2 linked regions of the Drosophila melanogaster genome follow. The protein of the gene in region 1 interacts with the protein of each later gene in a pairwise test. Each region holds a gene or a part of one and is shown in the gene's direction. Other genes may lie near its edges.

Region 1 (4,425 bases):
GGATCGATTCCAATCAGGGAGGCATACTCATTGATTTCTGTGCAGGAAAAAATGGTATATACATATTTAAATAAAAATTTGTTGCACAACTTTTAACAATTAATAATGAAATATGCTCTCAATATATTGTTTTAGCATAGTGAAGGAGATGAAAATGTGTTTGGTAATTTTTACAGGCTATAAAAAAAAGACGATAAAAACTAGTATATAACCCTATTTTATATACATATATATTTTTTTGTAAAATTTTAAATTTCTATTCTTTTGATTTTCTTCTTTATTTTCAACTTGAATATATAATATATAATAAAATTGATTTTTGCAGGATAAAAAATGTCTTTCATTGATGTATATATATGTATATACCTAAGAACATATGTATATGCTCCAAATGGTCAACACGCCTACCTCAATCGTTATACACATGTAAGAAATCACTTTTTATTGGATTCGAGGCAAACGAATTGCTTGCCAAACGTGAATTTTCACCGGAAAAGCCGATATTACATACTCTCACCCACAATTGGGGTAACTAGTCAACGGAACTTACCCTCCGATGAGGGGAAACACGCCTCGTCGAAAACCTCCTCGCAGATGACGGACGACGAGCCCTGGGATGATGATGATGGTGTGGCTGGGAGGGATTTGGTTAACTCAGCGGACGCCGTGCTCGAGGAGATCCTCTTGCACACGCTGGTCGTCGTCATAATGGGTACTTTAACTGGATTTCACTAACCGAAGAAACTCGAGCGGAGCTAGCGTTTTCGTTGCTCCGGGAGTTATCCGTACTCGAAGTGTCGTTCAATATATTTGCATATATTGTTATACTTTTCGGATTTGACATTCATAGTTCTCCATACTATTCCTTAGCGAGTCCTGCCGACAGCGGAGCAAATGCCAGAATAATCGGATGCAGTTTGACCTAAAAATGAAAATACAAATACCTACTGAGTCATCGCTATACCACTCAGTATGTGCGTGTGTCCATGTCGGAGCATGCTCCGAACGTGGGTTGCTGGCCAATTATCTGGTTGGCAACAGGATATTGCAGCGAGTTTGCGTGTCCGCGCAGCCCGACGACTCCCAGGTTCCAGGTCCCTGTCCTTTCCACCACGAAAGCAGACGAACAGAGCCTCAAAAGGAAAATACCATGGTTTTAATACTGTCGTTATACTATCGCAGGAAAACACCTGAGAAATAAGGGTGTGGTGTGTCCTTATTTCGGGCAAATTCCACTTATGCTCGTTTTACATGAAAATTGATTCCTTCGTTTAGATTCCCTTACCTTTTCGTTAGCGTTTCAAGGGTTTTCTTTAGAAAACTATGTTGTTTTATGCACAATTACCAAAAATGATATTTCAGGATCCTGATTAACAAGCTTAATATGCCCTCTTTTTAAGCATATTTAATAAATTAAGGTATTCTATTGGTTTTAAAGCGTTTTTAATAAATTAAGGTATTCAATTTGCTTTGAAGCATTTTTAATAAATTAAGGTATTCAATTTTCTTTTCAGGAGAGCTAAAGTATAAAAATTCATGGAATTGACTGTAATATTTAAAAAAATGAACATAAGGTATTGTACAAAATGGGTGGCATATGATTTGATTAGGAGTATTATAAAGGTTTCGTTTAAAATACATTGTAGCGACATTAAAAAGGATTTATTACTCAAACAGCTGTTCTTAATGAGCGGTATTACTCAAGTATTGGGGTTTTTAATTCTATGCGGGTTTAAAAGAGTTTACTAATTTAATATAGTTTAATTCCCAATTTCATACTGCATGTTTAATTTTTATGCACAATATAAAAACAACTGATTCATAAATTCATATTTTTCAAACATATATCCAAACATATAGATAATGCTTAACTAGGAGTGTGAAAATAATGATTTCACTTATTTTGATAAGATGTGACGCTGTGGAAACGCACCGAAAGCTTTAATACCAAACCAAAATTAGTAAGACCTTTTGTTTCGGTAATTACCATAGGATTGTTCCAATTATACTTCAAAACAATTGGATATTATGTTTAAAACACCACCCAGTCCTGCCTGAAAATAGTTAATAATATAAATATCCAACTAGCAAAGAAGACGAAAAGTTATGGCGGGAATGAATGAGTACTCTAGCCTAAAGTATGTAAAATGGTATAATATATAATCACGATGCCATACTAATAAACATCATCCATTTATAGATTTCAAGCGGAGTATGAAACGCACGATGATCACCTGGGCAAGGAGCATCGGACTGGGGACCGGGATCAACATTTACCCGTGACCTATGGCCCTAGCAAACACTTGGGAAGCAGGTACATCCGAAATGAATCCGAAATCAATTCATTTGTTAAATTATATAAATTCCCATTAATCAGCCTTGAAGAGCGCGAGAAGGCGATTGTGGACGTCGTCGGCGTACAGTGGGTCTCCCTGGTCACCGAGAACCTGCTTAGCCATCCGTTTGTGGTGCTGCGCCGCCAGTGCCAGGTGTACAATGCCTCGAGACGCTATCATTTGCATCCCTTTCAGCTTCTGCCCAGCATCGTCCACCTGCACAGAAGGCAGGGACTGACGACCCTGTGGAAGGGCGTGGGCAGCTGCCTACTGGTGCGCGGCATGACGCTGGCCATCGACGACTTTATCTCGAAGGTGACCAGCTGGCCCAAGGATGTGAATAGTCGCACCACGCTAAAGCGTTTCGGACAGCATCTCCTGCTCAAATGGTACCCACTTGACACCCTAATCTCGACCATTCTCTTATTCCTTTTCAATTCACAGCATAAGTATCGGCCTGGTGGTGCCCTTCTATGCAGCTTCTCTCGTCGAAACGGTGCAGAGTGATATTGCCAGCGAGAAACCCGGTCTATTCGATGTATTCCGGGAGGGAAGTCTGCGCTTGTTTTATTGGAGCTCTCCGCAAAAGGGCCGTATGCTACCAGCCTGGGCTCTAATCGGGCCAAGTGTCTCCTTTGGCATCACCAAGTATCTGTTTAATCTCGTGATACGGGGCGTGTCCTCACGCATAATGCGGCTTCGTATAAAGAATTCCCAGGACGGCCAGGGTGGAAAGTATCAGGACACCACGCTGGAACAACAGAATGCGGACATCTATGCCAGCCTTATTGCTATCATAACCACTGAGGTCATGTTCTTCCCGTTCGAAACGATTCTACACCGTCTGCAATTGCAGGGAACACGAACTATAATCGACAACCTCGACAATGGCTACGATGTCGTACCCATTCTAACAAACTATCAAGGAGTCGTCGATTGCTATCAGACAACGATTGTCTCCGAGGGAGTTAGTGGCCTCTACAAGGGCTTTGGAGCCATGATCCTGCAGTTTGCGGCACACGTGGCCGTCATCAAATTGACCAAATGGGTTGTGAATCAAATCGTAGAGGTCATCTCCAACCGACCACCACAGCGAATAGTGAATTACTATAATCTGGATGAGAATGCTTGCAACTCCAGGTCCACGACCTTGTCGCCAAGCCTTTCCAGTACCGAAATGGGGGAGATTAGTCTTGGGCAGAATTCACAAGACTAGTTAATGGCTAGTCAAATTATATTGCATATGTAAATTATACAAATATTTATTTCTTTTTGTATTTTTCGTTGGGTTTATTGGGACGTTAGCATGAATAATTGTATTTTAAGGGTTTGCTTACTCTGCAGTTGCGTTAAAAAAAAATCTGCCAATTAAAAAATATAACTATTTTAAACACTTTAAACTGAGCTTATATTCTTGCACTTTGTGTCCCGAAAACGTCAGGACCTTGAAATGAATACAGAAAAATTAAGTAAAAACAGCAGATTGTCCTGTGGTTGGTGCGATCGTTTCTATGACAACTAAATGATATGGTTGTGTATACAATTCACGATAAAAAAAAGAGGAAGGAGCCGTTAACTTCACGCTCATTTTGAAGGGAAACAAAACTTTTTTCGAATTCACGATTTTCATTACGACCGTTGGCAAACACACGTACGATTCAAGCTGACGTTTGGATACAGAAGCACAGCTTGAATGTTTGTATTTATATCGAAAGGCATTTATTTGCAATATCCTCGTGATCCAACAAACAATGTATACAACAACTGAACGTTAACAGAACGATATTTAATATGATTTCTGTTCGCAAAATCGTATGTCGTTTGATGTTTCACATTTTAAATATAAGTTCCGATCGTTGCCTTACTTCCTATACCACATCTGGAGCGTCTTCATCCGCTTAACCTTCTTCTGCAGCTGCAAAACGCCGTACATGAGCGCCTCGGCGGTTGGCGGACAACCGGGTACGTATATGTCGACGGGGATTATCCTATCGCAGCCACGGACGACGGAGTACGAGTAATGGTAGTAGCCGCCGCCGTTGGCACAGCTGCCCATGGAGATGACCCAACGTGGCTCGGGCATTTGGTC
Region 2 (2,877 bases), on another chromosome or scaffold:
GAAGCTTTTCAGACTAACTTATAAACGCGCGTAATAGAATCAAGATCCAGGCCAAGTATGCATTTGGAGCAAAGGGCAATGAGGAGTTTAAGATTCCACCAAATGCCACAGTGGAGTACACAGTAAAGCTCGTCGACTGCGGCAAGGGACTGGAGGAGTGGAAACTGAGCGACGAGGAGCGCCTGGCTGAGGCCAAGGTGTACAAGGAGAAGGGCACCAACTACTTTAAGAAGGAGAACTGGGCTCTAGCCATTAAGATGTACACCAAGTGCAAGAACATTTTGCCCACCACTGTCCATACCAATGAGGAGGTGAAGAAGATTAAGGTGGCCACGCACAGCAACATTGCTCTGTGCCACCAAAAGTCCAACGATCACTTCGAAGCCAAGCAGGAGGTGAGTACATGCGCTCAAATCGGATAATTTATACATTTGACTATTTTATATTAGTGTAATGAGGTTTTGGCTTTGGATAAGAACAATGTAAAGGCTCTCTACCGTCGTGGCCAATGCAACTTGACTATCAATGAGCTGGAAGATGCACTAGAGGACTTCCAAAAGGTAACCAAGATAAACGTATATTTATTGAGTTAATACAATGTATTGCTATTTATTCGATTAGGTCATCCAATTGGAGCCTGGCAACAAAGCGGCTGCCAACCAAGTGATCATCTGCAAGCAGAAACTCAAAGAGAGCAAGAACAAGGAGAAGAAACTCTATGCCAACATGTTCACCAAACTGGCTGCCAACGACAAAGAGGTATTGCCTACAACTGAATAAATTCAAATAAAGTACAACATTTCTATATCGTTCCTCCGCGTGTTTTCTGCGTTCCTTGAAATCACCAATTTTTCACCGATTGTTAGACCGAACCTCCGCGGGAAACTGACGTGCTGAGCAAGTGCGGAGAGTGGTCTGAAGAGGATGCCAAGCGCGAAGCAGAATTGACGCTGGAGCGCGACAATATAATCATGATCTAATTCAGATCGACTAGTGCTTTAAGAAATATTCCCTAGGGTTTATAATCCCACATCGAAAATCCAGTAATGTAATGAAGAAATGGTCTTAATGCTTATACGAAATAAATATAAACGCTTTGAGAGCTATGTATATCGATGGTCAAGTATTTCGTGGTAGCAGCTGAAAGCTGGGTCTCGTCTCCCTATCTCGCAGCCACAATGGCGATGTGGGCACCTGTGACTTAATATATTCGGAGGCCTTAAAACAGTATCCGGAACAGAATTTCTTGCGTTCTGTGATGTCGTATACTTTGTTTTTGGAAGCGGAGATACTGTACTTTTGCTTGGGAACGCTAAAAGAGTAGTTATAAAGGATAATTATTGGAAGAACCTCTAGATTCTGTTGGAACACTTACTTTTCTAGAACTGTCGAACAAAGTGGATATCCGCAAAGTTTGTTTATTTCCCGCTCATCCACTATGTCTGAATAATTTGGGGGGCCAATCTCACAGAGCTGCGTGTACAGGAAATGCTTAGTCTACCCGTCAAGCTTTTAATTTGCATTATTTTACCAGGGACAGGAACTCGGGCTCCGGTATTCCGGGCTCCAAAAGCCGCACCACGATTTCATGGGCTCTCGCAATCGCCGCTCGTTTCTTTACCACCGCCGCTATCAGTTGTTGTCTGGAAAACAGTGAGTACTTCACTCAGTGATATTGAATATGTATTTATTTTAATTTACCTCAACTGCTCCCCTTTTTCTGTAGTCATTTTACGCTTCCAAAATTTGCAATTGAGATGGTCGATAACAACCTTCGATAGACACTTAGTTGGGAAATATGCGGTCAATCGGTAGCAAACAATCGATATTAATATCAATGGAATGGTCACTCTGTTTTTGCAAAACGTAAATAAAAAACAAATTGAATTGATAACAAAAATGGTTTGCGAGAAGTGCGAGGCCAAGCTCTCCAAAGTTTCAGCGCCCAATCCCTGGCGAACGAGCACAGCTCCTGCGGGAGGACGTAAAATCAACGAGAACAAGGCTTTATCCTCGGCCCGCGAGCGATACAATCCCATAGGGACTGCTTTACCACCTTGCCGGTAGGGAAATCTCCTCAAGAATTCATCTGCATATCTTAATCTGATTTTTAATTATCCAGAATCTGCCGACAGAAAGTGCACCAGATGGGTTCGCACTATTGCCAGGCGTGCGCCTACAAAAAGGCCATATGCGCCATGTGCGGCAAGAAGATCATGAACACCAAGAACTACAAGCAGAGCTCAACGTGATGCAGTTTATCAAAGGATGCACTTAAGACTAAACTAACCATAGACAACAGAATAATTATAACCTATAGTACAACAAATGCCTTACTAATCAGTTCTCGGATGGCGTCTTTTCCCGTTTTCGCTTGGCATTTTGGATCTGGGTTGAGTAGCTCAAGCCGTCTTTGTCGAATTCCAGTGGCATGATGCCCAGGTCGCCGGAATAACGATTCTTGGCAATTTGGAGATACTTCTTGCCCCGCACAGAAGTCAGCCTCTTGTCTTGAATGATCAACACGTTGTCCGCTTCTTGGGTGGCCTTTGCTGTGCCGAAAACCGAGCTGGTGGTCAGCTCGTCCTCCTGCCGCTCCTTGCGCGGATGCATTACGAGTGTCACGTGTACATTGTGCTTGGTGGCAAAGGAGCGAAAGGCAGCTATAATAGAGTCCTGTTCAAAGAACTTGTCGCCTCGAAATGTGGACACGCCCATCATAAATTGCAGATTGTCAATGATCACGTGCATCACATCGTGCACATACGACGCATGCTCGATGGCTTCCAGAACCGGCTTAAGGGGCTGCTGTCCGTGGAAGGTCATAAAGTATAGCGGCAAACGCTCAAACTCCGCTGCCCAGTGGTTAAACTCATG

What was found.
Region 2: the proteins of Slc25A46a (region 1) and CG4537 interact in a two-hybrid assay, tested with the Drosophila melanogaster proteins (one large-scale study listed by BioGRID).

Annotation. Positions count from the first base shown.
Region 1 is NC_004354.4:15,981,814-15,986,238, forward strand, and holds Slc25A46a (solute carrier family 25 member 46a), read left to right. Parts: upstream 1-1,958; 5' UTR 1,959-2,106; coding exon 2,107-2,138; intron 2,139-2,200; coding exon 2,201-2,314; intron 2,315-2,377; coding exon 2,378-2,725; intron 2,726-2,780; coding exon 2,781-3,552; 3' UTR 3,553-3,592; downstream 3,593-4,425. Other genes in the region: Cep164 (centrosomal protein 164), read right to left, coding at 1-37, 551-707; ND-20 (NADH dehydrogenase (ubiquinone) 20 kDa subunit), read right to left, coding at 4,198-4,425.
Region 2 is NT_033779.5:9,889,011-9,891,887, forward strand, and holds CG4537 (uncharacterized protein), read left to right. Parts: upstream 1-1,874; 5' UTR 1,875-1,899; coding exon 1,900-2,063; intron 2,064-2,122; coding exon 2,123-2,252; 3' UTR 2,253-2,326; downstream 2,327-2,877. Other genes in the region: Fkbp59 (FK506-binding protein 59kD), read left to right, coding at 38-395, 450-560, 622-759, 867-980; CG34183 (uncharacterized protein), read right to left, coding at 1,120-1,312, 1,376-1,473, 1,532-1,643, 1,702-1,730; mtDNA-helicase (mitochondrial DNA helicase), read right to left, coding at 2,341-2,877.